Elephas maximus indicus: one gene and its partners. The protein of the gene in region 4 interacts with the protein of the main gene of each other region in a pairwise test. Links are inferred from orthologs where the notes say so. Each region holds a gene or a part of one and is shown on either strand. Other genes may lie near its edges. The genes, in order: HSBP1, MED4, DEUP1 and KIFC3.

Region 1 (7,719 bases), about 25 Mb from region 4:
CTTACGACAAAGTCATTCATCACTTTCTAGCCAAGCAACTGGACTTAATATGGTCTCTTGCCCTTTTCTGTAGGTAATCTGTATTTCTTTTTTCCAATTAATAGTTCAAAGAAAGGATGGAATAATTCAGGTTTTCAAATCCTGCCAGGTATTTCATGATAACTATTATAGGTGAATATAGGGTTCTACTGAAGTATAAGAATCTCATGCAAAACTGTAACAAATGACATCTCATTATGTTAGGCTATTCCGTTACTTTCCATATTTAAACATACTAAAGTGGCAATAGTGACTTTTCATGGACTTCAGCATCTGATCTCAGGCACTTATAATAGAAATAGAGCTGTGGTTCGATTCTGAGTTTTGGCCACACAGGAGTGCCAGGTATTTCGGAATAAACGAATTCTACATGTTTCTGGCTGTTTGGAAAGTATTGCCAGCACGCTGTTTGGTGTCAGTTCAACAGCCACTTTGTGCTGAGAATTAAGAACCTCAAACTCAACTAATGTTTTACTTCACAAAGTTCAGTTTAACTGAAGGATTTACCATTTGTCTAAGAAAAAAGCCACAGAGCAATTTTTATCAAATAGCAACTACTACAAAAGGAATGACAGAAAATGACTTCATGAAAACACTCTAAAATTTTGACAATTTTATGTAGGAACTGCCAGAGTTTTAGTGTTTAATAACAGCACAACAGACCAAGGTCCGAGATGTGAAGTTTACCATATTCAAGAAAAAAAATTCAAGAAACTACAGGAAAAATCACTCCGAAAACTAACTATATGATTTACGGTAAGAACACACACTTTATAATATAAAACCTGTCTACACGTAGTAGTTAGGTGCAAAAAGCCATTCGGTCTTCTCTTGGCTTGTAAAAATTGTGTTCCAGACCTCACTGTAAACTATTAGCAACCTGTTGAAAAAGGGAACACCATCAAGATGTTTTTCATTATATGAGGACAAATAAAAATGATACACAGAATTATCAACTAAAAATCCTTTCAGAATTCTCTAGTGAATAAAACATGTTTTCTTTGTACAATATTCTAGCAAAAACACAACTGGTTTAATTAGAACTTTGTAAAAAATTGTGACTATTTCCTATTCCCACTGCTTTGTATCTTCCCTGTCTCTCCAAAGTCTTCAATCCTGCAGTTCTTAAGGATGTTCTCAATTTGCTTTATGGGATATCTGAATGCCAAATCACAGAAAAGACCTAGAGAAGTTTATAAAACTAGCAGGGCATTTTCCAAATTACCCATGTCAAAACATGAAGTCCACAGGGGGAGAGAATAAAAGGGATGCTCGCTGGGGCCATGGCTGGGAATTCATCTAGAGAAGTTTATCTACATCAAAATAATACTTAAGAGGTACCTCTCTGTACTCTCCTTTTTTCCTTCTTAAAAATAATTAGCTCCTTCCTCACCTTCAACTCTTTTGTGTGGCAGGAATCTTGTTTTCACCTTCCAGTTCTTCCACCCCAGCCTGGGTCATGAGGTCTGCAATATTTTTCTCTAGATCATCAATGCGACTACTCATGTCATCAAGTGATCAAGTTAAAGACAATGAACAGCATTTCCACTTCCCCATTTCTTATCCCCTTTTTCCAAGGTCCTGTACTATGGCCTTAAACACAATTGTGTTAATGAAACTGGTTTTCCAGTTTCCTCTGGATATTCTGAAGAGTACAGGAACCTGGGGCAAGGATGCCCAGGATCAAATCCTAACCCTGCCCCTTGCCAGTGATGGGAGCCTGGGCGAGCTTTTTCACTTTACTAAACTTCAGTTTCTTCATCTGCTAAACAAAGATGGTGACAGCATCACCTATTCATAAGGATCTAAGGAGTAGACACAAGAAGTGTTTGGCTCACAGTCAGAAGTCAATCACATTAGCCATTATTATGGGAAGATTGTAAGTTCCCTGTGGCCAGGGCTCTGTCTAGTTCAACTCTGTGTTCCTAGCCCTTAGCACAGCACTTCTGGGGAACAGAGGACATCCAGGTAATCTGGTAAATGGCAGGCTGAAACTGGTCTGCAAACCACCCATTTTATCTACCGAAACAACAACAAAAAACCAGTTGTCCAGTGGATTCCAACTCAGCGACCCTATGGAGCAAAGTAGAACTGCCCCATCGGGTTTCCAAGGCTGTAATCCTTATGGAAGCGGACTGCCACAGCTTTCCCCGTGGAGAAGATGGTGGGTTTGAAGCCCAGTTAGCAACCAGAGTTTAATCACTGCGCCACCGGGGCTTCTTAGGCATCTACCGACTACCTGGCAAGTAGGATCCAAGGCCCATTAGAGGCTGACACGAAGTAAAAGGATATTTCTTCCAATGATCTGGTCGGACATGGTCTGAAATTTATCTTGCATCTGTTGCAACAGTGTCTGGACCTAAGAGAAGAAAACATCCTTATCCTGAGGCACCTTCATGGGATCAAGACAGAAACCTGGTCTAGGAGTGAGACCTGGACCCCGGGCTCCAGCCCCAACTCGGCCTCTTGGCGGCTCTGCGACCTTTAGTCAAAAACTTCCTTCTCCGACTTCAGTTTTTTCTCATCTGTTAAATCAGACTGAAGGCCGGCGGAGCCCCTTTCAGGGTGGGCCCGCTGTGGTTCAAAAACGGCAGGGTTTTTTGGTTGTTTTTGGCGACTTGAAGGCATCACGCACACATCTCGGGGGTGCGCCAGAGCTGAGGGGTGAGCATGGGACGTTGGCGGGAGCATGGGGGTCATCAGGGGCCTTCAGGGGCAGGAGGAGACACACCCAGGAGGGGTCTGGGGCAGGGAGAGGTCTACACCGAGGGCCCCGGCGGGTCGCGGAGGCGGCGAAGCCTCCAGAAACGTCTCGCGCCGCCGCCGCCGCGGGCCCCGGGAGGCGCCCGCGGAAGATGGCGCGTCCTCGGGCCCGCGCAGCCGCCCCTTACCACCGAGGTGAGATCCTGCATGTTCTTGGGGTCGGTCTCGGCCATCTCCCCGCTTCCCAGCTTGGCGGTGATATCTCCGACCGTCACCTACACTTCCGTTTGTCCGCGCAGACGCCCCCAGCGGCTTCTTCTCGCGACGAGAGAGAGAGAGAGAGACCGCGAGACCGCGGGGTATTGTGGGAGCTGTAGTTCAAGTCAACGCCACGGAAAAGCCCCGAGCTCTCGCCTTTGTAGATACCCCGGTGGCTTAGTGGTTAAGAGCTACCGCTGCTAATCAGGAGGCCGGCAGTCTGAATCCACCTGGCGCTCCTTGGAAACTATACGGGATGGTTCTACTCCCTCCTATAGGGTCGCTATGAGTCGGAATCCACTCTACGTCAACGGGTTTGGTTGTTTTTTCTTCCGTTTCTGGAGCCCTGGTGGCGCAGTGGTGAAGAGCTCAGCTGCTAACCAAAAGGTCAGCAGTTCGAATCCACCAGCCGCTCCTTGGAAACCCTTTGGGGCACTTCTACCCTGTCCTGTAGGGTCGCTATGAGTCTAATCTGGAAAGCAAAGGGTTTGGTTTTGGGTTTCTTGCCCTTATGGTACTAAGCGAGGCCCCGCCCTTCTCCGCTCACCTCCCCCCCTCCACGGTCGTCCTCGCCCCACCCCTCCTCGCCCTAACCTGTCTCACCCCGCCTCTTCGGCTTCGCCCTCCGCCTTTGGCCTTACCCCCCTGCATTGCCCCATTTCCCACCCCGCCCCTGCCTTGCCCGTCCGGGCCCTGCACTGCCCTGCCCCTGTTGCTCTGCCGCCACCTCTCCCCGCCCGTCTTTAACTTTCCCGTCCCCGGCGCCCGCCCCTCTGATCTCCTTTTGGGCCTCTCCCCTATAGGGTCGCTATGAGTAGGAATCGACTCCACGGCACTGGGTTTGGTTTTTTTTGTTTTTCCCAGGCAGAAAAAAGTGGAACAAAACCGGATCCTGGCAAATAGGGAATGCCCTGACCGTCTTCCCGCAGTAGTTGGGACGGCTTTGGCTTCCTGGGGTCGATTGGACGAACATCCCGGGCCCTGCGACTATCAGCCCAGCTGTGCGCGTCCCCGCGCTGTCACCGCTCTGGCATACCTGAGTCCAGCAGAGGGGCTGGCCTACTGTCCCTTTCACAGGTGCACCTGTGCACACCAGGTAGACCTATGTACCTGGAGGGGCCCTCAGGGCAGAGAGGCAACCAACGGTCCGCCATGCCAGTGGCTGCCAAGCTCTGGCAATGCCGGCCCAGGTGGGTCTCCGCTGCCCCGGGGCCAGGTGGCTGGTGCGATTCTAACTTTCAGGTACTGTCTAACATGCCTACTGCAAAGTGCAGAAATCCTACGTGCCTCCGGCTTAAAAACATGGCCAGCCCACTAGGCCCTCTCCTACCCGGCAGAAGTCACCAAGCCCTGACTTTTCACATCGCACACTGGTCTTGCCTTTGAATTTCATGTAAGTGAAATCAGACAGTGGGCCTCTTTCAGTGTCTGGCTTCTCTTGCAATGTGATGTTCCTTGGTGTTGTTGGGGAAGGCTTCTTTGGTAAAGGAGGGGACAGTGTCAGGGGGCTAAGAGACTGTGGGTTTTGGTGTTTCTTGAGATTAGAAGCTCAATCTTGGGGTTCCCTATTACCAGCTTTCCTGCCCCCTCCTGCCTTCTAGTCCTTGCCCCTAGGCTGGTGTGCCCCTTTAGTCTCATTTTGTTTTATGGGCCTGTCCAATCTTCTGCTGAAGGGTGAACCTCAGGATTGACTTCATTACTGATCCGAAAGGGTGTCTGGGGGCTCCACTCTTGTGGGTTCTCCAGTCTCTGTCAGGCCAGTAAGTCTGGTCTTTTTTTGTGAGTTAAAATTTTGTTCTACCTTTTTCTCCAGCTCTGTCCTAGACCCACTATTGTGATCCCTGTCAGAGCAGTCAGTGGTGGTAGCTGGGCACCATCTAGTTGTACTGGACTCAGTCTGCTCACCTGGATACTTTTGTCTCAGTGTTTTTGCTTAATCCTCAGAACACCCCTGTAATATAATTATTATCATTTTACAATTCTAAGAACACAGTCCCAGAGGGGCTAAGAAACGTAAACAAGGTCATCCAATTAGGAAGCAGTAGATGCAGCACTTGAACACAGGACTTTCTGACTCTACATCTTCTGCTTTTTCTATCATTCCAGAATTCCGTGAGTTTTCTGAGCTTCGAGCAGGGTTTCTCAACAGTGGCACTGTTGACACTTGGGCTGGAAAATTCTCTGTCATGGGGGCTGTCCTGGGTGTTCTAGGATGTTTAGCTGCATCGCTGGCCTCTATCTGCTACATTCCAGTAGCACCTCTAGCGTGAGAACCAAAAATTCCTCCAGACATTGGCAGCATCCCCCAGGGGCAAAACTCCCTCCGATTGAGAACCCCTGGCTTAAAAGGGTCTGTAGACGCTGCCTCGAATTCTGTGTACTTGTTCTTCGAACATGAATTTGTTCTTGCTCCGGCCGTTTCTTGAGAATGTTCTTCCATCTATGCTGAGATTGAAGGCTGGTGAAGTAACATCACCTTCTTCCATCTGTGTTGTGCTTGTTACTTTATAAAGAGTTTTCAGAAACCTCCAGTCATTTAGCTACCAAGTAGCCAAGGGGAGGTAGGACCTCCCCCTTCTTACTTTAGACCCCATCATTCAGGGCTACCACCCTCAGCGTGGAAGTCTGGGTACCTGCACCCTGGACACCGAAGTTGTGAGCCACCCTGGTTTATGGCCTTTGAGGAACAGAAGGACGTAAATTTGCATCAGGACCTGGAGTATTTTTTCCCCCTCTGGCAGGAGACTTGAGGTTTTTTATCCTGTTTGAAATTTTCTTTACATAAACAGCAAATAAACTTGGCATTCTTTTAGTGGAGGTTTTTGTTTTGTTCCTTTGTTTTTCACTTCAATAGAAAGACTGTATAGTCTGTGTGGCAGAGACCACAGGTCTGTTAAACAGCTGCTTGGTGTGAAAGCTTCACTAATTTATAGTCATGGCTGATATACTTTGTGGGGCTGACACGCTGAACCTAAACTGAATATTGTCCCATTAAGAAAACTAGTGTATTATGTGTAAGGCACTAGTAATTAACCTTTTAGACTTCACTTTTCAACAACCCTCATTTTTAACCTTTATTTAAAGTGTCGTAGTTGTCTTAGCTCCTCTTAGCACTTTTTTTTTTTTTTTTTTTTACTCTTTAGCTCTTTCTAGATTAATTGCATGTTGTAATTCTCTTTTCGCCTTTCAAGAGGGTTTGGTTTTACATGGGCTTAATATGGTGCTTTAATAATAGCTCCTTGTTTTGAGCTGGAATGCTCTCTTTTTCCAGATATATGCTGAGGGGGTGTTCCTGTACAGGTGTAGTTGCTCAGCAATGAGATTTTTGCTTGTCTGTTTGCTTTGCGTAAGCAGATGAGGAATGGCGGCGGCGGTGGTGGCTCGGTGGTAGAATTCTCACCTTCCACGTGGGCGACCTGGGTTCGATTCTTGGTCAGTGCACCTCATGTGCAGCCACCACCTGTCTGTCAGTGGGAGCTTGTGTGTCGCCAGGATGCTGAGCAGGTGTCAGTGGAGCTTCCTGACGACAACAGACTAGGAACAAAGGCCTGGTGATCTTCTGAAAATCAGCCAGTGAAGACCCTATGGAGCTGTGTGGTCTGATCCACAGCCGATCATGGGGTTGGCTCAGGACTTGGCAGCATTTCGTTCTCCTGTGCGGGGGGTCACCATGAGACGGAGCCAACTCAATGGCAGCTAACAACAAGCAGAGAAGACACGATTAGAGAAGGGATTTAGAGAAACCTTGTAATCTGTTCTTTCCGTCGCTGCACCTGTATGGGCTCAGAGTCGCTGTGGTTGCTGCTTCTGCTGCCGAGAATCCCACACCTGAGTGAGCTGGTGTCACAGCAGCTCAGGATGTGGGGCCTTATCCTTCCAAGTGGCCTGGCAGGCCCCCTGCTCTCGCCCTCCAGTGGTCATTTCAGCCTTTGCAGTCTCTTCAAACCCTAAAAAACCAAAAACCAAACCCACTGCCGTCGAGTCGATTGCAACTCATAGCGACCCTATATGACAGAGTAGAACTGCCCCATAGAGTTCCCAAGGAGCGCCTGGCGCATTTGAACTGCCGACCTCTTGGCTAGCAGCCATAGCACTTAACCGCTATGCCACCAGGGTTTCCTCTTCAAACCCAGGATAACCTTATTTTCTATATTGTGGAGTAAATAGAGCCGATCAGTCAAGGCCCCTTAATTCTCACCCTCCACACCTACATGTTGTTGAAAGAATAATTGGTCGTGGAAGGTTGATGAGGAGGGGTTGGGGATTACGGAGCTTAGATGGGTGGAGGGGCAGCCCCTCCATTGTGATTTCAGGCTAGAGGATCATGGAGGGAGACTGGTGCACTTGGCAGCTGGCAGGTGTTGGAAGTTGCATTTCAACATGTTATACTTACTCTGTTTTCATGCAGATAGTACATACCTTCTGCATTGGTTTGCCAGCCTCCATCCCTCTCCCCACCCAGGTATTTTTGTAAGCACCACTATGCCAACATTTCTTTACAGCAACATGTTAAAAAAAAAATTGGCATAGCGGTGCTTAGGAAAATATCCCACGGGCGGAGGGAGCCACTGACAAACCAATGTAGAAGGTGCGTGTTATTTGTGTAGAAATACACAAATACTGCTCATGAGCCCTCTTGAGGACATTGCCACTTCCCTGACTTGCTCTCGCACCATCCCCTCCCCAACTTTGCCCCAGCCACACTGCCCTTCTTGTTGG
Region 2 (6,944 bases), on a different chromosome or scaffold from region 4:
GGGTAAACACACTTCATCAAAAAGTAAATATTATACTCAGTAGTCAAGAAAAAAAAAATATGGAAGGCTATAAGTTGGTCAAATCGAGACACAAGAAAATTTCAATTTAGTCTCAAATTTAACAGAACTGATAAATTTAAACTTAATTATGAAAAGTACATGGATACCAAGCATATGTATGCCTACAGGTACCGACAGCATCAGGAAGACACATCTCAGATACATAGCCCAGCTGGCAAGTGACGCAGAGGTAAAACCTCAAGATTGACTATTGGGTTGTCCAATGTCAGAAGAAATTCTCAAAGATCATCACCCTGGTGAATATGAAATATATACTAGGGTTACTCAGCAAAACAGATAAACTATGTTACATCAAGTAAGGCTCAGAGGAGAATTCACTGGATTCCACAGCAGAAGAGTGAGAAGTAGTAGTCTATTGGAGAGATTAAGGCAAAGATTTGAAGGTCTATGACCAAGGCCTACTCAGAACAAAAGGTGGCAGCCACTACTTCCCACAGGGGGTGTCACTTCTTCACAATGTATGCAAAGAAAACTTAATCAATACCATCCATACCATACGGTTGGTCAAAATGAACAGACAATAAAGAATACCTTAACTCAATTAATTTCACACTCAACAGCACCATCAAGATGCCACAGCACAGTTGTTAGAAGTCAACCAAATATTAGACTCAACCTTCAGGTGAGAATTCTCCAAGAAATAGCTCAAAGAAGTATTTCAAGCAGAAAGATCTAGATAGAATTCAAGGAAGAATTGGCTCATACAGGAGCAACACAGGTATTTTCCAATTAATCTTTAGTTGTCCTAAATTTAACTGAACACAGATTTGTATCAGAACAACATGGTTACCTGTTCAAGGTATTTCACAGACTCAGTTTGGCTGATCGGTGATTCTAAAGGCACATCTCCATAGAGATGTGGTTAGGTTGAGCACACTAAATTTTTCAAATGAAATTCGCTCCTATTTAGAAAAGTGTTTATGGGATGTTAATTTGGAGTTTAGTACATTACAAAAAGTAAGTGCTCAATATGAATTATATGAAACTTCAATTAGCCGTCCCAAAGACAGTAAATCATACACAGCAGAGACATGAATGATTCAGCTGAGAACATCAAACTACCAATACTCTGTCTTGCTAATGTCTTTTCATTAGGAAATAATGTGGGTATTCATTCAAGAGGATCAGCTAATGGGGAAACTGACAAATTCTCCTCCACAAATCACGAAACCATCAAAGACAAAGAGGAAAATAGCACTTGCGTTGCTTTGTGTAATGATTCACACAGAGGCAACACATAATACAGCCGCCTTGTGCTTCTGATTTTCTTGTTCACCACACTGACCGCTGCCTGGCTGAAACTCCCACACGCTCTATTTGTCATCCGGCAGTATTTGAGTCTAATACAATCTAAGCAGTTCATTAAACATGTAAGCTATTTAACTTCTGGTGTCTCTGTTTTTAGGTTTTTCTTACATCACTTAATATCACGCTGACCTAGTAAGTTGGTAAGTAATGCTGTGGCAAAGACTAAATTTATAGCAAAGATAAAATGTTGATTATCAGTAGGTAAGTATATTTCAAATTACAATAGATAAGATTTAACAAAATCGTCAAGGAATGCTGGCTACAGAAAAGGTGATGTTTCAGGGCGATTCCAAAAGATGAATGAATGATGCACCAAACTGGAGGTGGAATGGGAATGGTACCAAGGATGAGGAAGTAAAGCCAGCTTTGAGACCAGGGAGTACAACAGGCTGGAGGGAAGGATATGCAAGAGGGGGTGGGGAACGGCCTTGTACACTAAGCTAAGGAATTTGGACTTTATCTCATTGGACAATGCCAACCTATCAAATATTTTTAAACAGAGAAGTGATATGAGATGCCTATTTTAGAAAGATGACTCCGCTCTTGGGCAACATAGAAGAATAAAGTATGGAAGCATAAAGGCAAGTAAAACTGTTGGCAGACTGAGTAAGAAATAGTTAAGACTGTGGGGTGCAGGTGAGGGGGCAAATGTGAGCAACATTTTAGAGAGTAAAACATTACAACTTGAACATCCACGAGTATGAGACGCACTGAAGGATGGCTTCAACTACCATTAAGGGAGAATACGGACAACGACATTCGGTCTCACCTCCCAGTTCTCCTCCTACCTTTGCCACACATGCTTCGCTCCAGCCATCCCCGACAACCTGCAATTCCACCAACAAATCGTGCGTGCTCACGTTTCCAGGTCTTTACCCACGCTGTTCCATCTACCTGCCGCCTAATAAGTGAACACTTTCTTCCCAACCAGCCCTTTCTCCATCCAGGACACTGTCCTCATTACAGCTGGGTCAGGCGCCTGGTCCATAAGGTGGGGTGCCCCAGCGCACACCTCTGATGAAAACAGGCTACGCACGATGGTCACCGTTTACATATCTGTCTCTCCCTGTTGACAAAGGGTTCCTCCAACTCGGCATCTGGCTTCCCCTTCAGTACCATCTCCTGAGCGCCTGGCACCCAGTTGTCACATAAATGTTTGAGAGGGTCCGTGAACCAGGGGGCTCAGACTACGGGATTTCTACGGTCCGCTAAGGCTCTGACAGTCTTGGAGTTCCGGGGTCACTGTCATTACTAAAATGTCCTCTTGCGGGAAAAAAAATGCCGCCTCGGAGTCTCAGAGGATTGCGGACCTCAAGTCCACTACACTCGCGAACTATCTTTTAGAGTCCACACAGAAGTCTCCCAAGCGCGGCCCTCGCCGCCGAGTCCCGGGAATGAGCGCAATTGCAGCTCCCGAGTCAGTCATGGAGCCTCGGCCCAGCCCCAGTCAGGCCCTCAGCCTGGCGGGATTACCTCGACAAGACCTCCAGATCTTCCAGGGCAGACAGCAGCCGCTCTCTTGTGCTGTTACCACCTGCTGCTCCCGAGCCGCCACCCGGCCGCTCCTTCTCCTTCTCCGCACCAGAAGACGCAGCCATGTCGCCCAGGCGCCAGCCGGCGTCGCATGCGCAGTTGCGCCCCGGAGCGGTGAGAGCGGTACTCGGGAGGCGGAAGGAAGGGTCGTTAAGGCGGAGGAAGTGGTCGGCTAGAGCGCCCCCTGCGCGCCCGGAGGCGAACTGAGGGCGCCGGCGCCATCTGCTGGACCAGCCAGGGCTTCTCCGGTCCAAACCCTGTGCCTTCTGTTTTTCAAAGCTGCACTGAGAGGCTTCTGCTAAACGATATCTAAGCATTTGTCGGAATTATATAATGGCCTCTTATGTCAGTTTCTTCGTGAGATCTTGCGAAATATCTATCCTCAGTCAGCATTAACCTCCCTTTAGTCTATGTTCTCATAACGCTATGCTAACGCTCCTTTTCCGGTTCTCACGGTGGCTGTAGTAAGCTCCTTTCACAGCCATACATCCCCAAACAATGCTTTCCCTAATGCTCAAGATGGGTGTTGAGCTGAATTAATCAATATAGCATGAAAGTGGTAATGGGAAGAGTTTAAATAAAGAATTGAGGTGGCGCATTTTCCAAATCAGAACCAGAGGTCCAAGCCGAAAATGCACCATTGCCCATCTGCCAAAGTTTCAAGTAGCCCACCTTTCCTGGGGGAGGACAATGTAGAAGAGGGCTTTTCCTACAGGGAAAACTCAAAGTTACAACAGTATTGGGAGTGAGGTTTTGTACCTGGTCGTGCTGCGGTTACAAAAAGATGAGACGGAGATGTCACCTCTGGACATCAGCTGGGAGTCAGGCAGCAGTACCTGTGGTCCCTTCATTCCAGCAACTTGTCCTTTGGTCTGTCCTTTTGAGGGTGCTGAATCTGATTCTGCCCAGGCTTCCAGAGTTGATGATTCCCCCAGGAACTCATGCTAAATGCATTTACTCACTGGCAACTGCTGAATAATCAAGAACGCCGATTTATTTACTTGTGATGAAAAAAATAGTGCCACAGACTATATTTTCCTCCATAGACAAACCTACGTGGAAGCCAATTATCACAAGAATGTTGCTTGTTGAACAACTTGCATCAGACAGAGCAATTGAAGATGTGGTCGTTGTTAGCTGCCAAGGACTTAGCCCCGGACTCATGGCGACCTTATGCACAAAGAAATGAAATGCCGCCTGTCCCTGCACCATCTCCATAAACGGTTGCATATTGGACCATTGTGATCCATAAGGTTTTCATTGGCTGATTTTTTGGAAGTAGATTGCCAGGCCTTTCTTCCTAGCTTGTCTTAGTCTGGCAGCTCTGCTAAAACCTGTTCAGCATCACAACAAAACAAAAGCCCCCACTGACAAATGGTGGTGGCTGTGCAGGAGTTGTGCTCGCTGGGAATGGAACCTGGATCTCCTGCATGGAACATGAGAATTCAACCACCGAACCAGCTGGCTTTTAATGATTGAAATCACCAGGTCTTTATCGCCACAGTGTAGGGATATTTGTGTTAAGGAGATTGGAATATATGTGTTCATAGGTCAGGATGCCTTCTCCCCTACACGGTGCAGGAGGCTCACTGGCACCTTTTGTTTTCTGACCATCCCCCACTTCTGCTCCTGCCTAACCCCTTCTGTTAATTCTCAGGCAACAGAAAAAATTAGATTTACATTTTCTTGATCATAATTGCATTCTATGCATGCTTCCCAGAAAGTCTAATCAATCATTTCTTGGGTTAAGTTTCCAGGGTGCCAAAAACCTGCAATACGTGTGGGCGTTGTTTACTTAACTTTCACAGGACAATCTTGGTATATGATTCCAGTGGCGGGAAAGGGGGATCATATTAGTGTAACTCCCACATAAAAATTCTGGGAAAATTCCAATCAGTTAAAAATGACCAGTTACCAGTTATAAGTCCCACTTTACATTGGGAGCCCTGGTGGTGCAGTGGTTAAGAGCTCAACTGGTAACCAAAATGTCAGCAATTCAAATCCACCAACTGCTCCTTGGAAACTCTAGGGGCAGTTCTACTCTGTCCTATAGGGTTGCTATGAGTGAGAATCGACTCTACCACAAAGGGTTTTCCAGACATTGAGGGTCAGTGCCTGGAGAGTATACATGTATTGTGAACTCCAAAGCTGCTTGGGTTTATTGCAAATTCATTTGCATGTTGTTATGGATTGAATTGTGCCCCCTAAAAATATATGTTGTAAAATCCTAACTCCTATACATATGGTTATAATCCTATTTGGGAATGGATTTTGTTATGTTAATGAGGCAATATTAGCGTAGGGTATGTCTTGAGTCAATCTCTTTTGAGGCATCCACATGTGAGAGCTGAAACTTGCTGGGATTGCCTTGTTTTTCCAGGTCTCGAAAGTTTTCCCACTTCAACTGGCTGCAGTCTTACCACTTTTCTATTGTTCTCTATTAGTGGGAAATATTTGAGTTTTCCTTTTCTGACAGGTTTACACCTTGCACAGCTTCCAACTTTCGCAGGTTTTACTGCAAAAGGAGATTAAGAAGAAGAGCTGGGGGAAGATGGATGCCACCTTTCATGAAGATCACCAAGGAACAAGGATCTTCCACCAGAGCCAACTGACAGAGAGTCTTCCGTATTGCCCTAAATTTGAACTTCCAGCCTCCTAAACTGTGAGACAATAAATTTCTGTTTGTTAACTCACTTGTGGTATTTCTGTTATAGCAGTGCTAGATAACTGAGATTCACATTAAGCATTCTTTATGACTAACAAGTCATATTTCCTACAGTTTTTTTTTTTTTGCCAAATTATACAGTTCCAGGTGTGATACAAAAAATACAAAGGATTTTAATAAATCTTACTGAATTCATGGTAAAAAAAGAAAAAAATCTTTTTTTTTTTTTAATGTTAAGTATTTTCTCAATGCATGGATTCAAAAAAGACAAGTACCACCTTGTTGTTAGCTGCCATTGAGTGGATTTCAGCTCATTGTGACCCCAAGTGTGCAGAGTAGAACTGCTCCATAGGGTTTTCAGGGCTGTGACCTTTCAGGAGCTGCTTTCTAGGCCTGTCTTCCAAGGTGCCTCTGGGTGGGTTCGAACTACCAACCTTTTGGCTGGTGGTTGAGCGCTTAACCATTTGCACCATCCAGGGAATTTAACATGCCAGCACTCTTCTAAGCACTTTAAAAATATTACTCATTTAATTTTCAGAACATTCCTATAAGTACTGTTATTATCCCTGTTACAGATAATGAAGCTGAGGGACAGAAAGGGCAAGAGACTTGCCCAAAGTTATATAGCTGGTAAGTGGCAAAGCTGGGATTTGAACCTGAATTCTGGCTCCAGAGTCTATGCTCTTTATCACTGGTTATGTGGACTCTCTTTAAAAAGAAAGAGGCATCTTCACGTACTGAAAAAGCACTGGGAATCTCTGTCTAAAATATAAGCACTATCAAAGTTTGGATTTTTTGAAATTTTATTGTGTTAAAATATATAAAACAAAACATTTGCCATTTTAAGCATTTTAACTACAACTCAGTGACATTAATTACATTTGCCATGTTGTGTAACCATCACCACTATACATTTCCAAGTGTTTTTCATCACCCTAAACGGAAACTCAGGGGGACATTGGTGGTTCAATGGTAGAATTCTCGCCTTCCGTGTGGGAGACCTGGACCAGTGTACCTCATGCATAGCCACCATCTGTCTGTTAGTGGTGGCTTGTGTGATGCTGAACAATCCTTTGGTAAGACAACCAAACCAAAAAACCAAGCCTGTTGCCGTTGAGTCAATTCTGATTCATAGCGACTCTATAGGACAGAGTAGAACTGCCCCATAGGATTTCCAAGGAGTGCCTGGTGGATTCAAACTGGCGACCTTTTCGTTAATAGCCACAGCTCTTAACCAGTGTGCCACCAGGGCTCCAGCAAGGTGACAAACCAGGCTAAATTCAGCTCTGTCTTTTGAGTACCTGTACCAATGCAGCTGAATATGGCTGGAGAAACACACAAACGTTATTCGTAGTGG
Region 3 (7,864 bases), on a different chromosome or scaffold from region 4:
CTGCCCTCTCATCTCCCCTCCAAACAGGAACTGCCCACATGGTCTCATGTGTCTACTTGATCCAGGAAGCTCACTCCTCACCAGTATCGTTTTCTATCCCATAGTCCAGTCCAATCCCTTTCTGAAGTTGGCTTTGGGAATGGTTCCTGTCTTGGGCTAACAGAAAGTCTGGGGACCATGACCTCTGGGGTCCTTCTAGTCTCAGTCAGACCATTAGGTCTGGTCTTTTTATGAGAGTTCGAGGTCTACATCCCACTGCTCTCCTGCTCCCTCAAGGATTCTCTGTTGTATTCCCTGTCAGGGCAGTCATCGGTTTTAGCCAGGCACTATCTAGCTCTTCTGGTCTCAGGCTGATGTAGTCCCTGGTTTATGTGGCCCCTTCTGTCTCCAACTGACTTTTATTTGTTTATTTTGTTCCATGCCACTTGCCTGAATCTTTGGATTAGTTCCAGTAGCTTTCTTGTGCAGTCTCTGGGATTTTCTATGTATATGATCCTATCACCTGTGAATAGGGATAATTTTACCTCTTCCTCATCAATTTGTATATCCTTTATTTCCCTTTATTGCCTTATTGCTCTAGCTAGGACTTACAGTATAGTATTGAATACAAGTGGTGATAAAGAGCATCCATTCTTATTCCCTTTCTCAAGTGAAATGCTGTCAGTGTTTCTCCCTTGAGAATAATGTTGGCTGTTGGTCTTGTATATATTCCCTTAGTTATGTTGGGAAATTTCCCTTCTATTCCTATATTGTTGAGAGTTTTTATCATGAATGGGTGTTGGACTTTATCAAATGCCTTTTCTGCATCAATTGAGATAATCATGTGACTCCTATTCTTTGTTTTATTTATGTGGTGGATTGCGTTGACTGATTTTCCAAAGTTGAACCATCCTTACATATCAACCTTACTTGTTTTAACTTTTTTTAAATTGTGCTTTAGATTAATTAGTTTCTCATTTAAACAATATTACACATATTATTTTGTGACCTTGGTTACCAACCCTATGACATGTTAACACTCTCCCCTTCTCGACTTTGGGTTCCCCATTGCCAGCTTTTCTGTCCACTCCTGCCTTCTCGTCCTTGCCCTTGAGTTGGTGTGCCCAGTTAGTCTCATTTTATTTTATGGGTCTGTCTAATCTTTAGCTAAAGGGTGAACCTCAGGAATGACTTCATTACTGAGCTATAACGGTGTCCAGGGGCCATACTCTCAGGGTTTCTCCAGTCTCTGTCAGACCAATAAGTCTGGTCTTCTTTTTTTTTTTTTTTTTGGTGAGTTAGAATTTTGTTCTACATTTTTCTCCAGCTCTGTCCAGGACTCTCTATTGTGATCCCTGTCAAAGCAGTCAAGCTCACTAGCCAGGCATCATCTAGTTTTGCTGGACGCAACCTGGAGGAAGCTATGGTAGCTGTGGTCCTTGGTTTTCTTCATTCTCCCCTGCTCCAAATGGAGTGGGACCAGTGGAGTGTCTTGGATGGCTGCTCACAAGCTTTTAAGACATCAAACGCTACTCACCAGAGTAGGATGTAGAACATTTTCTTTATAAACTATGTTATGCCAATTGAGCTAGATGTCCCCCGAGACCACAGTCCCCGGCCCTCAGACCAGTAATTTGGTCCCTCAGGGAGTTTGGATATGTCTATGAAGCATCAAAAACCTTGCCTTTGTCAAGTTGTGCTGGCTTCCCCAGTATTGTGTACTCTCTTACCCTTCACCAAAATTACCACTTATATATAGTTTATTTAGTGTTTTTCCCTTCCCCCCACCCCGCGATAACCATCAAAAAGTGTTTCTTTCTCTGTGTAAACCTTTTCATGAGTTTTTATAGTAGTGGTCTCGTATAATATTTGTCCTTTTGTGGTTGACTTATTTCACTCCAGATTCATCCATGTCATGAGATATTTCACAGATTCATCATTGTTCTTCATGTTGTATAGTATTCCGTTGTGTGTATGTACTAGAGTTTGTTTATCCATTCATCTATTGATGGGCACTTGGGTTGTTTCCACCTTTTTGGTATTGTGAATAATCCTGCAGTGAACATGGGTGTGCATATGTCTATTCATGTGACGGCTCTTATTTCTCTAGGCTATATTTTTAGGAGAGGGGTTGCTGAATCATATGGTATTTCTATTTCTAGCTTTTTAAGAAAGCACCGTATCATTTTCCAAAATGGTTGCAGCATTTTGCATTCCCATCAGCAGTGCATAAGAGTTCCAATTTCCCCGCAGCCTCTCCAACAATTGTTATTTTTTATTTTTTGGATTTGTGCCAGTAATGTTGGGGCGAAATGGTATCTCATTGTGGTTTTGATTTGCATTTATCTAATGGCTAGTGATCTTGAGCATTTCCTCATGTGTCTGTTAGCTGCCTGAATGTCTTCTTTGGTGGTTTGTTCAGATCCTTTACCCATTTTTTAACTGGATTAGGTGTCTTTTTGTTGTAGAGATGTTGGATTTTCCTAGAGATTTTAGAGATTAGACCGTTGTTGAATTTGTCGTAGCCAAATTTCTTTTCCCAATCTGTAGGTTCTCATTATACTCTTTTGGTGAAGTCTTTTGATGAGCATAAGTGTTTAATTTTTAGAAGATCCCAGTTATCTAGCTTACCTTCTGGTGTTTGTGTGTTCTTAGTTATGGTTTATGTCATGTATTAGGACCTCTAGAATTTGCCCTATTTTTCCTTCTATGATCTTTATAGTTTCGAGTTTTATACTTAGTTCTTTGATCCATTTTGAATTAGTTTTTTTGTGTGGTGAGAGGCATGAATCCTGTTTCATTTTTTGCAGATGGACACCCAGTTTGCCAGCACCATTTGTTAGAAAGACTGTCTTTTCCCCCATTTAATGGATGTTGGGCCTTTGTCAAAGATCAGGAGACTGTAGGTGGATGGGTTTTCATCTGGGTTCTCAGTTCTGTCCCATTGGTCAATGTGTCTGTCATTGTACCAGTACCAGGCTGTTTTGACTACCGTAGCTGTATAGTATGTTCTGAGGTCAGGTAGTGCAAGTCCTTCTACTTTATTCTTCTTCTTCAGTAGTGCTTTACTTATCCGGGGCCTCATCCATTTCCATATAAAGTTGATGATTAGTTTTTCCATCTTGTTAAAGAATACTGTTGGTATTTATGTCGAAATTACATTGTATTTGTAGATTGCTTTGTATAGAACTGACAGTTTTCACAGTCTACCTATCCAGGAGCATGGTATATTTTTCCATTTATGTAGGTCTCTTTTGGTTTCTTGCAGCATTTTGTAGTTTTCTTTGTATAGGTCTTTTATGTCCCTGCTTAGATTTATTCCTAAGTATTTTACTTTTTTAGGAGCTATTATAAATGGTATTGCTCTCCTGATTTCCTTTTCATAGTTCCTTTTATTGTCAAACTTATTTTTTAGACAGAGTTTGAAGAGCACTAGATTTGGAGTAAGGAGCCCTGGCGATACAGTGGTTAAGTGCTTGACTGCTAACTGAAAGGCTGGTGGTTCAAACTCGCCAGCCGCTCCATGGGAGAAGATGTAACAGTCTGTTTCCATAAAGATTACAGACTTGGAGACCCTATGCGATAGTTCTACTCTGTCCTATAGGGTTGCTATCAGTCAGAATCCACTCAACAGCGGTGGGTTTGATTTTGGTAGATTTGGTGTTATATGACCTGGGTTCGTATCTTAGCTGCACTTGAAGTAGATATATCATCTTGGACAAATCATTTATTCTTGCTAAGCCTTGGTTTCCTAATAACACCTGTTACATTTGCTTCATGAGTACTTTTGAGCACCTGAGGAAATAATGAATGTGAAAATACTGACCAATAGTAAAGAGCTACACAAGCACGAGTGACCTTGGGCATCCTGAAACTTCATTAACAGCCCTTGCCAAGTTCCATTTTTTCTTCCTCGGGTCAAGAAAAATACATCGATCCATTTAGTTTACAAAAGAATAAAAGAACATGACTAGGATTTTCAGAATAATGTTAAGATGAAATGATCACTCTCTTCATTCAATCATAACATATGTGCTATGAAACACTTATTTAAAACTAATAACCTGAGTTACTTTATACAGTTCATCTATGAGACTCAATTTGTTAAGAAGCAGCAAATGGTTTTATGAAATTGAAATGGAACCTGGATGGAGGAATGTGGGAGGATATTAAATTGATAACCATATTAAATAGCAAATTAATGTTAATGTTATGAAAGTAGAGTGCAAATAAAAGATTTTAAGGACTAGAAGTTAATCAGCTAGATGTATTAGAAAGGAAGTCTGTTCCTCAAATAGATACAAGAATATTTTTCAAACAGAAAATCCAAGCGCTTAAGTCTTCTTTAAGCCAAACAACAGTTTAGCTTAATTAGTAAAGAATGTCTGCCTTGAGTATTGTGCTCTTTTAAAGAACTATCTAAATGGATCGAATTGACAAAAACAACAGTAAAGGTTAGATAGGAAGCTTAGGGGGCAGTGAGTTTATGTTAATGGGGGAGGGACAATTTGGAAAAGGAGGGTGACAACAACCTGAAGAATGTAATCAATGTCATCGAATTGTACCTGTAGAAATTGTTAAATGCTGTTTATATTTTCAACAACAAAAAATAAATTATTTTAAAAAAATCTCTCAAAGTTAGCTTTGAGAGATAATGTTATAGCTACAGGCTATGACATTATTTCCTGTCATTTCCGCTGTGAAATGTGAAATCAAGACAGTGAGACAGCACTTGTATCATCACTCTTGGAATTTGGTGGAAAAGGAAAGAATCTGGAATCAGTCATCCTGGGTTCCACCCCAGGTCCCCCCACTTAGCAGTTACTTCCTTCTCCTTGAATGGGAGACAATACTATTTGCTTCGCCAACACGCAGAGTTGTTCTAAGGACCCAGTGGGAAAAAAAAAAGACAGGTACAAATGCTGCAGTTACCGCGACCAGAGTACTGTGGACTAAGCAACACAGTTAAGGAAATCCAGCCCTTCCGGGCTGAAAGACATTTTGGTGAAAAGAGAAAAAGCCAGCTCTGTTCACTCTGTCCTTGATCACGTTTCAGTTTGGGACAGGTGAGAGAACGGTCAGGGAAATTTAAGGAACTTGAGTGCGGAACCCCCAGCTGTTTACTCTTTGTTCCTTAGTTATTTCATTCTTTCTGAGCCCTTGTTTATTGCCGGTCCCTGCTTTAGGCACTGGAAGCCACAAAGAAAAAATGACTCAGAAGGTGCTCTCAGGGAGCTCTGCGTCTAGCGAGCTGACACTAGCCACACAGCAGCGGGGCAGCGAGGTCGCACTCGCCTGGGCTGAAGTTTCGCGCGGCCCGAGACGCCCCGCGGCCACCGCCTCCCGCCGATCCGCCCGCGCCTCCGCCGGGCACTCCCTGCCACCCTCACCCCCACCCCCACCCCGACGGCCGCGAGTTCGGGCCGCGTCCCCATGGCAACCAGGAGCCAAGCGGCGGACCGCGGTAAGCCGGGCGGGAGAGGCCGCAACGGCCTAGGCGGCCGCGCGGCGGGCGAGCCCGGACGGCGGGAGCGCGGCGGCGGGTGGCGAGGCCCTCGAGGCGGGGCGGGAGGGAGGCCCAGGCGTTCCTGCTCCCGGAGCCTCAGACCTCTCCGGCGGGCGCCGCGCAGCGCAGGTAACCCGGCCCCAGGCCTCCCCGGTCTCGCTTCGCGATCTGACCCTCGTCCCCCGGGTCAGGCGCGGGTGACCCTTGCCGGGGGGGGGACCCCAACAGGCCGGCTGCTCCGGGGAGACTGGGCCTGAGCTGTGCGCGGGTTGGGGCGGGGGTCGGGGTCAAGGCTGGGCAGCGCAGCGGGTGGTAGGACCGAGGGATATAAGAGCCGCCTTTGCAGAATCCAGAGCAGAGATTCTCCCTGAGTTAGAAGGCCTAGGTTCTGGTTGTGTGGCCATGGACAAGTCACTTAGTATGTCTGTGCCTCAGTTTCCCTGACATTAAACTGAGGGATTTGAGAGCCTACAAAATCATTCATCCCTTCATCCTGGTCAAGCTTTCCATTCACTGCCCCTACCCCTTGCCCCACCCCTCCACACACAATTCCAGGACTTCTCTTAATTTCCTTTGATTTGATAGTGGAATGAGCCCGAAGCCTTCTTCCTCATCCTACTACTTCGACTGCTGTTTGACTGACTTTTATTCAGTGATGCGGAGGAGTTGAAGTCCTTTTTCAATACTTTGTCCATTTATCCTCGTAGATTATTTTTCACTAAAACTTTGTTGCTGGGAAAAATCTTTTGCTTTAGGCAAGTACTGATATCTCTATTTTGTCAAGAGGATGTGCCAGTGCCCATGGAACCATTGAGGAATGGTAAGATTTATATTTTTAGGCAATTCTTAACCTTTTTTGTCCTAAATTTCGTAGTATATTCATTCTAGCAAAACTCAGAAAGGACTAAAGAAAGAATTTGCTCAAAGGTAAACCATTTAGGGGATCCACATGAAAGAAAAGTTTGTGAATATCCAACTGGAGCTCCTCTTGAGTAATGATTCTATTTTACTCATCCTCATGTACTGAGCATAGTACCTGGTGCTGAGCTATTGTTCAATAAATAGTGAATGAGCGCTCATTTCAGTCAGTACCACATATTTCAAGTTATTATTAATCAATATCATAGCTGCATGGGACACCCTGCCAAAAAAAGCCCAAATTTCAACATTTTGTAGAATCGTGAGCTACTCCGCTCAGAAAAACTAACCTCAAATGGTTTGCTGATAGCAAAATGTTCATATTTTGTGGGTTAATTAATGTAAGCGTTTTAGGACTCTAGATAATTTTTTCTCCTAACAGATTAAAAATCAAGAACCATAAACCAGATTCAGCAGCTTCTCAACATGGAGAACCAGGCCCAAAATACAATGGGGTAAGTGCTAAGAAACTTCTGTTTAATAAGCTGACACTTAACAATGCCAAAAACTCCCTGGTGATACATGAGTTTTAAAATTTAGCTTTAATAGCCTACCTACTATCCTACGGCCGTTGAGTAGATTCCGACTCATAGCGACCCTATAGGACAGGGTAGAACTGCCCCATAGAGTTTCCAAGGAGCACCTGGCGGATTCGAACTGCAGACCTTTTGGTTAGCAGCAGTAGGACTTAACCACTATGCCACCAGGGTTTCCAGCATTAATAGAAGGATGTGGAAATTACTTTTGGTGAGGGTGGGGGGAAATTTCAAGTGATTATAATTAAGAATCTATAGTGTGATCTGTGGATCTGCGCTTGAAAATCACAGCTTTCCAACTTTTAGCGACTTTGTCTGGTGTCTTGGGTGATGGGTGCCTACGCCCAGGGCACTGACACTGCTGGCCTCGTGCACTCTTCGGTTCTTACAGTGCAGCACCTCCTGGCCATTTTGCTCCCGTCTTGCTGCACCAGGTGTCCCACACTTCCCTCTACTCTTGCACTTAAGACTCAACTCAGCACTTCAACACAACCCCAAAATAGATCCAACTCCACAAAACAAGGATGGATATTAAACCAAAAATTTCATAGAGAGCTAAGGAGTAGAATTTGTATAGCATCCCCTATCATAGAAATTTAACCAAATTCCTTTTCGTAAATATCTGTCCCTACTTCCCTGCCACCAGCACCACGAAGTTTCCTCTTCATATTGTTTCATTAGCCAACTGGCCACTGGCTGATCCCAGAGCCAGGGGTGGAGGTGAGTGGGGATGTTACTGTAGTGACTGATCTTGACCGTGGCTGACTTCGCTCTAGTCAGCCACTTGAGGTGTCTCACTTTTAGCTCTTCTGTTCAGACCTGCTTTAACTTTTAGCTTTTCTACTCAGACCTGCTTTAACGTCTGGCTAAAGGAAAACTGCCCAAGTCTGGATAATAATAGCATCAATTTTTTACTCCTACTGCA
Region 4 (7,902 bases):
GCTGGTTGCAGAGGTGGCTGAAGGTGGGCAGGTGTAGAGTCCTCAGACTTGACCAGAGAGAGAATGGGAAGGAAAGGATGCCAGTTCCCAGTGAACCAGACTGGAAGGAAACTGAGACGGGCAGGGAGCCCCTGGGTGCTCTTTAAGAGAGCTTGTTGATGGAGCAGGGCAGGGGGCAGACTTGGGAAGGCTCAGGAGTGGGGTGGGAGCTAGAGGAAGTGGCTACCTGCCCCTCTTGGGAGGTCTGGCTAGCAGGGGAAGGACAGGATGAATCGAGAGGACTTGGTTTTTGGAACAGGAGAGATATGAGCATGTTGGGTAGACAGAGGGACAAGAATGATGGAAGCACAGAGAGGGGAAGACAGTAAGAGGCAGGGTGGGAGGCACGAAGACGTAGTGTCTGATGTTTGCGTAGTTGAGCCCTAGAAGGCCAGTCTCCTGGTGAGGGGACAAAAACTTGGAGGAGGAGGCTCCTGGGTGCAGCGTCACCACAATGGGGCAGGAATGTGGGCCACAGGACGGGTGGAGGCAAATCCAAATATGTGGGCTGGCTCCACTGAGGAAATCGAGATGGACCAGTGTTGCTGAGATGTGCTGAAACCCATGTGAAATTGTTCACTACAGGTTAGTAAGCACAAGTAAGCTTGTGCTTACCTTGCTTACTGGGTCATCCGCCCCTATTAGGAATTATAAATTGGAAAAAAGGCTTTGACTCTATAGGAAGGTGGTGTGGGGCTGGGAGAGGGACAGGTGCCAGCCATATCTAGAAGAAGAAACTTTAATGTGGTGAAAAAATGTGAAATTGTTTACCATAGATGGTCTGGTAAGCAAGGCAAGCGCCATGCTTACCTTGCCTATCAGATAATCTACCCCTAGGAAGGAAAGAAACCAAGGGGAGCAGTCAAATGTCCTCTTCTCCAGGCTGCTTGGCACAGGCAAACAACCAACCCTGCGGACGAGCTGCCCAACGAGCAAGGAGGGAGAGAGGCTGGCTCTACCTGTGAGCCAAGCCACTACAAGGTGAGGCGGTACAGGGCACTGCTGGTCAACTGCATGGTAGAAGGAGAAGACATATAAGGAAATCAGCTAGATCTAAGGGGCAGGGGCAGAAGACATTATTTCTGTGGCTTTCAGGAAGGGAAGTCAGGGAGGTAGCCAGGAAGATGTCAGGAAGAGAGAGGGTGTGTACAAGATCTCAAAGAGGAAAAAGCAGCTGAATTTAGCAGCTGGAGGAGGGTGGGGAGTCAAGAGTAATAAGGAATCTCAAATAAGGCCACAGTTCTGGGCCCAGAAAGACGCACCCTCTCCCCTTACTTGCATGGGCCTTCCATAACCCACCTGGCATCTGGGGCCTCTGCCATCCCAGGATGGGGAGGGGGATTACATGGAAGAGTGGTTATAACCAAAAGCTGGTTCAGAATCTGGCTCTGCCACTTACTAGATGTGTGACCTTGGGAGAGCCACTTTGCCTCTCTGTGCCTCATTATCCCCATCTGTAAAATGGGAAGAACTCTACCTTCTACAGTTGGTGTAAAGATTAGGCAACACACATATAAAGTGTTCAGAGCAATACTGGCAAAAAAAACCCAGTGCCGTCGAGTTGATTCCGGCTCATAGTAACCCTACAGGACTGAGTAGAACTGCCCCAAAGAGTTTCCAAAGAGCGCCTGGCGGTATACAAAGAGTTAAAATTTTTATTTTTCAGTGACCTCCCACTTGTGGTGGATGAATGCAGAGGGGACAGCTGGAGGAGGGGGACACCTACCTTCCCGGGTTTAGGCCAGGTGGCAGAACTGCAGGGTCAAGGGTTTCCTCCTTCTCCCAGACCTGGGGCATTTCAATGATTAAAGGACAGATTTTGCAACTGCCCAGGGACTGCTGCTGGGGAGGGCTCAGTCCCCCTGGGAGTACAAGCAGAAGGTCAGGGAGACTGCACAGGGGCTGGGATCTTCCCTGCACAGAGCCACACATCTGCGTTTTTCACAACAATCCAGATTTTAAAATTCTCTGCTCTCTTGTGCCCTTAAGGACAGTGGAATTCATGACCCTGCATCCTAAGGTCCAATCACTGCAAATACAGGGCCCCATTCTGAGGCTGCATTCCTGGCAAATGACTCTGCTGGCCAAGGAGACAGCTACTTTATCAAGGGCATGGGGCATAGTCTGGGCAAGAATGGGTGCTCCCCCAGCCTCAGGGAGAGGGAAAGCCAGGGACCCGGAAGGGCCAGAGGTGGTCACAACCCTCAACCTTGAGACAGATGTGCTCATGGTGATGGCAAAGGGCACTTGAGAAATTAAATACAGCTTCCTCTTTACAATCTCCCAGGACCAGGCCTAAGTTCGGCTCTAACTCGCTATGAGGGGCTTAAGGGGGTGGCTGCTGGGACCTCCAGCCTACCGCTGGCAACGGCCCGATTCCCCACTGCCCAACAGGGCACCTGCCAAGGTCCTCTTTCCTGAACTGGGGGCTGGCCCACCCCACCCCGGCCCTGCCAGCTGGAAAGCGAATTGCTCAGGGTACGTGGTGGGAGGCCCCAAAACTGCAGCCTTCAAAGGAAGGAAGCAGCGCTGATTAACATCTGCCTTTCTGGGGTAGGGTCCGCGCTCTCCCAGGCCGATGGAAACGGAACGGGGGTCCCGAAGCTGCTCTGATCCCAGAAGACGTGCCGCTCCCGTGCCCAGCTCGGGGCACGGTCTTCGGCCCAGGTTGGACAGTGCCAACGGACCGCACAGGGCTGGGTCTCCGGGGCCGAAGCCGGGGCCGGGCCTTCCCCCGCGCCCCAGCGGGCCCGGACACAGGGGTCCGGCGGTGAGGAAGGGCTCGGACACGGCGCCCCGTACGGCGGGCCGGGTGGAGCCCAAGCGCCCAGCCCGCCCGCAGCCCGCCGGGGCCTCCGACTTACCCGCCTCACGGAGGCACGATCCCGGGGTCGCCGCAGCGCCGGGGGCTCGGCCCGGCCCGGCCAGCCGGCTGGAGGCAGCTCCACGCCGCCGCCACCTCCTCCTCGGCCCGCCCTGCTCCGCCCCGCTCCCGCCCCTCCCGCACACTTTCCACAGGAAATGATTAGCTCGGGCCGCGGCGCGTTCCCATGGCAACTGGCTTAGACCCCGGCGGGGGGCGCGGCGCGCGCACTCACGCACACGTGCTGGCCCGGGCGCGCGCCCCCGTGCACTCACACGCGGGGGCTCCCACCCTGAGGCGTCAAGCTTTCACCCAGACGTGTCCACGCGGTCTCTCCCGCCTTCTGCGCCCTGCACACGCTGGTGCGCACATATTTCCACAAGAACTCACACTTTCACGCACCGAGTCTTTCACACACTCTGATACACGTGTTCTCTCACGCTACTGCAAATGCTTTCACACACACTCACACAAGTCTCGTAGGTCTCACACATATTCATCCACTCGTTAATACACGGTTGCCAGGGCTGGTGGTGCAATGGTTAAGAGCTTGGCTGATAACCAAAAGGTCAGCAGTTCGAATTCACCGGCTGCTTCTTGGAAACCCTATGAACGGACTCGACGGCAACGGGTTTAGTTAATTCACGCATGCGTTTGCACACAGGCTTCCACACTAGCACTCACACCCTCACACCGTAATACACAACTTTCACACACTCTAGTTAGCGCTTACGCGCACTGTCACATCTCACATGCTTTGCCTAACAAGCCAGTACACCCGTTCTTCACATTCTCGTACACCCTCTAGTTAGTACATGCACACACTACCACATGTTCTCACACACGCACTCACCACATACAAGCACAGCACTTTCACACGTGCTCTCTGACGTGGTTTCCCACAAATGTTCTCACACGCTCTATTGAGTACTAGTACACACATTCTTTTAAACCCTAGTACACATACTTTGAGAAGTCCCTAGTGGTGCAAGTAGTTAACTAAGCAGAAAGGTTGGTGGTTTGAACCCACCCAGAGGCACCTAGGAAGACAGGCCTGGCCATTTGCTTCCAAAAGGTCCTAGCTTTGAAAACCCTATGGAACAGTTCTCCTCTGCACACATGGGGTCACCATGAGTAGGCATTGACTCGACGACAACACATACTCTCATACAAACTCTCACACACTGTAGTCACCTCACACAATGCACTTTCACACGTTCTCACACATACGTTCACACACATGCCCTCACTCACTCTAGTATGCACATGTAGGCCAGGCTGCCTCCCAGTCACAGCAAACCCCCATCCCCACGCCCCAGCAAATTAACATCTTCCAGAACAGGGAAGCATTTGGGGTTTTTAAGGTACAGTATTCCTTTCAGCTCCAGTGAAAACATGTTGAGAGTGCAGCAGCCCTGGGAGTAGGCAGAGGCTCCCGGCCTAGCTCCAGCCTCTTCACAGGGCGTGGGGGAGGCCAGGGGGCCGGCAGACCAGGAGAGACAGCTGACCCGGAGGAGCTACTCTGTTCTTTGTCTCCCAAACAGAGGCGGCATTTTATTCCAGAGTCAACAGCACTATTCCCCCTTCAGGGTGCGGAAGAAGGAGAAAGAAAAGCTCGGAAGCCAGCCCAGCGCGCAGACCGATGGTTCCACAGATAATCCGAGCAGGGTGGGCACTCTGCCCCTTCCTGCTTGGCAGAGGATGGCTCAGGAGGAGCGAGACGGGAGGGGATCAGGCAGTTCCAGTCTCCTGCTGCTACCAGGGCCACAGGCTAAAGGTCAGGAAGCTTGATCAGAGCAGACTGAAGGCCTGAGCCTCAGCCACCTGTCTCAGTGGCTGCCAGATGAGGCCACTCACAGCCCCTCTCCCCACTGTTGGAGGTGGGCTAGCGTGTGTTTTATTTTCTAAATGAGATGCCCAAGCAAAGGCCCAGTAGAGGATAGATGTCATTCTCCTGGGGTGCTCTCTGGAGAGTTAGACATTTCCAACTAAGAGCTGAGGAGAACCTTCCCAATGGGGGAGGCTTTATTTTGAGAGTATCCCCTGTCTGCCCCCACAGACAGCAGTGGTCAGGGGGGACTGCAAGGTTAGATGAGGTTGAAATCTCTCTAGATTTCTGGGCAAGTATCTCCCTCTAGTATAAACCCATTGCTGTCAAATCAATTCTGACTCACAGTGACCCTGTAGGGCAGAGCAGAACTGCCCCATAGGGTTTCCTGGACTGTAAATTTTTAGGGAAGCAGATTGCTGCATCTTTCTCCTGCTGGTGGGTTCCAACTGCCAATCTTTTGGATAGCAGCTTAGCACTTTAACCACTGAGCCACTAGGGCTCCTCCCTCTATTATAATAGTCTATTATTTGACTCGAGGGCAGTGGGTGGGCTATTTGATTGGTGGTGGTAGGCAGGGGCTGTCCTTAAAGTCTTGGTATAAAACCGGAGGTCTTATCTTACTTTCGGGTTGGCACGTTGACATTAACTGCAGGTTCCTTCCAACAAAGCCAAAGCCAGAATTTTAAATTAATAATAACATTTATTGTTCTTTCTCTCTGATTACAAGAGTAATAGATGTTCATTGTAGCCGTAATCCCACCCACTAGAGATAAAGGCTGCCAACATTTTAGTAGTCTTTTTTTTCTCTATGCACATAATAGCTACCATTTATTCAAAGCTAACACTGTGCCAGGCACTGCACTAAGCTCTTTATAAACAAGATCTCATTTAACCCTGAACACCCTATAAGGTGGGCACCATCATATCCCGGTTTTGCAGGAGAGGAAACTGAGCCTCAGAAAGGTTAATTCACAAAGCCGGTGTGTGACAGAGCTGAGACAGGAACCCAGGTAGGGTATCCACATGCACACACACAGACAAAAGACTACTAACCAGAGGTTTGCTAAACCCACCCAACGGCATCACGAAAGAAAGCCTTGGCTATCCGCTTCTGTAAATATTACAGCCAAGGATACAACCAATGACTGCTCTGACAGGGAACACAACAGAGAATCCCTGGTGGAGCAGGAGAGCAGGAGGATGCAGGCCTCAAATTCTCATAAAAGACCAGACTTAATGGTCTGCCTGAGACTGGAAGGACCCGGAGGTCATGGTCCCCAGATGTTCTGTTAGTCCAAGTCTGGAACCATCCCCAAAGCCAACTCTTCAGGCAGGGATTGGACTGGACTATGGGATAGAAAATGATACTGGTGAGGAGTGAGCTTCTTGGCCCAAGTAGACACATGAGACTATGTTGGCATCTCCTGTCTGGAGGGGAGATGGGAGGGCAGAGGGGACAGAAGCTGGCTGAATGGACACAGGAATATGGGGTGGAGAGAGGGAGTGCGCTGTCTCATTGGAGGAAGAGCAACTAGGAGTACATAGCAAGGTGTGTGCAATTTTTATATGAGAGACTGACTTGATTTGTAAATTTTCACTTAAAGCACAGGAAAAAAAAAAGAGATTACAACCAAGGAAACCCCATGGAGTAGTTCTACTCTGTAACACATGGGGTCACCAAGAGTCTGAATCAACTCGATAGCAACGGGCTTATAAGAGTTTACTAAGATCAGAGCACCAGTGAAGGAAAAAGAAAACTGGGGCATTAGAGGAAGCACGTTCTGGCTCCAGCAAATACAGCTTTGACCTGAAATATAAAAACAAATTGTTTCATGATTGTTGGAATTTTTTTAAAGAATGTTCACTCTCACCAGGAACTACATACCAAATCCAAGGTCATTTCTAGCCTAGAATTTCATTGATGGTTTGATTGAAAGGCTGCCAAATCTGCCCTAGGCACAGAGGAGGCCAAGGATTTGACAGAGACTTGTCCGTCCCAATGTGAAGTCATGAACCCACGAACAACACGCTTGGCTTCTGCCCCTGGCCTTGGCCCTCCCTGCCCACAGTTGGACAGAGGCATACCTGTCTCGGGGAGGGCCAGACAAAAGGGTAGTGGCAAGAACACTCCATACCCATGTCCACCTTGACCCCTACACATGGGTCAGCAGTGCCATCTTTTTGTTCAAAGGGCTTGAGTCTCCTTAACACTCAGGGAGGGTCATCTGTCAGAGGTAGCCAAGGGGCGGGCCATGGGTACTTCTTCCCAGAGGGAAGCCAAGAGAAAGAAATGAAAAGCCAGTTTGTGTTTGATCTGATTGTCATAGTAACCCAGAATAACCCAGAGTAAAGCACAGATTTACATGATTTTCCAGTTTTAATGATTGAACTTGAGATTCGATGACCTCCAAACCCATTGCTGTCAAGTCAATTCTGACTCATGGTGACCCTATGTGTTACAGAGCAGAACTACTCTATAGGGTTTCCTTGGCTACTACCTTTACAGAGGAGCCATGGTGGTGCAGTGGTTAAGAGCTATGGCTGCTAACCAAAAGGTTGGCAGTTTGAACCCACCAGCTGTTCCTTGGAAACCCTATGAGGCAGTTCTACTCTGTCCCATAGGGTCGCTAAGAGTTGGAATTGGCTCGACAGCAATGGGTTTGTTTTTTTGGCTTTTATCTTTATAGAAGCAGATCACGAGGCCTTTCTTTCATGGGTGGGTCCAAACCACCAACCTTTCGGTTAGTAGCCGGGTGCAAGAGGATTGTGCCACCCAGGGACTTTTGATTACCTACCGTTAAAGCCTTAGAATGGATTCCAACTCATAGTGACGCTATAGGACTGAGTAGATTACCTCCAGGCCTTTGCAGATGCTGTTCCCCCTGCCCAGAAGGCCTCTCTCCTTCACCCCACTGCCCAACCTTTACTTGGCCAATTCCTGCTAGTGCTTCACGTCTTTCAAGCTTAGAGAGCACCTTCCTTCAGCCTCCCAGGCCCGGTCAGGTGGGCTCCTCTAGGCTCCCACTGTTCCCTGATCACTCGGCCCCCAGCAGCCTTCCCCACACTGCATTGGAACAGCCTCTCCCAGCTACACCATGAGGCAGGGCCCATTCCTGACTTGATCACAGAAATGCCTCTGCAGTGCCTGGAATCACATACGTTTTTGATG

What was found.
Region 1: the proteins of KIFC3 (region 4) and HSBP1 interact in binary tests that used the Homo sapiens proteins (3 or more experiments, as listed by UniProt). The two-hybrid records come from large-scale screens. The link is inferred for Elephas maximus indicus from reciprocal best matches to the Homo sapiens genes KIFC3 and HSBP1.
Region 2: the proteins of KIFC3 (region 4) and MED4 interact in binary tests that used the Homo sapiens proteins (3 or more experiments, as listed by UniProt). The two-hybrid records come from large-scale screens. The link is inferred for Elephas maximus indicus from reciprocal best matches to the Homo sapiens genes KIFC3 and MED4.
Region 3: the proteins of KIFC3 (region 4) and DEUP1 interact in binary tests that used the Homo sapiens proteins (3 or more experiments, as listed by UniProt). The two-hybrid records come from large-scale screens. The link is inferred for Elephas maximus indicus from reciprocal best matches to the Homo sapiens genes KIFC3 and DEUP1.

What each region holds. Positions count from the first base shown.
Region 1 is NC_064839.1:49,799,521-49,807,239, reverse strand, and holds the start of HSBP1 (heat shock factor-binding protein 1), read right to left. Parts: upstream 3,013-7,719; 5' UTR 2,976-3,012; coding exon 2,931-2,975; intron 2,399-2,930; coding exon 2,332-2,398; intron 1,554-2,331; coding exon 1,435-1,553; 3' UTR 1,433-1,434; intron 920-1,432; 3' UTR 1-919. UniProt on the Homo sapiens protein: Negative regulator of the heat shock response. Negatively affects HSF1 DNA-binding activity. May have a role in the suppression of the activation of the stress response during the aging process.
Region 2 is NC_064832.1:30,888,165-30,895,108, reverse strand, and holds the start of MED4 (mediator of RNA polymerase II transcription subunit 4), read right to left. Parts: upstream 3,017-6,944; 5' UTR 2,988-3,016; coding exon 2,863-2,987; intron 2,856-2,862; exon of another isoform or gene 2,207-2,855; coding exon of another isoform or gene 2,178-2,206; intron 1-2,177. UniProt on the Homo sapiens protein: Component of the Mediator complex, a coactivator involved in the regulated transcription of nearly all RNA polymerase II-dependent genes.
Region 3 is NC_064825.1:27,651,980-27,659,843, reverse strand, and holds the start of DEUP1 (deuterosome assembly protein 1), read left to right. Parts: upstream 1-4,855; 5' UTR 4,856-5,045; intron 5,046-5,165; 5' UTR 5,166-5,443; intron 5,444-5,477; exon of another isoform or gene 5,478-5,614; intron 5,615-5,644; exon of another isoform or gene 5,645-6,305; intron 6,306-6,785; 5' UTR 6,786-6,829; coding exon 6,830-6,858; intron 6,859-7,864. UniProt on the Homo sapiens protein: Key structural component of the deuterosome, a structure that promotes de novo centriole amplification in multiciliated cells.
Region 4 is NC_064839.1:24,689,289-24,697,190, forward strand, and holds the start of KIFC3 (kinesin-like protein KIFC3), read right to left. Parts: upstream 3,011-7,902; 5' UTR 2,904-3,010; intron 1,828-2,903; exon of another isoform or gene 1,766-1,827; intron 1-1,765. UniProt on the Homo sapiens protein: Minus-end microtubule-dependent motor protein. Involved in apically targeted transport. Required for zonula adherens maintenance.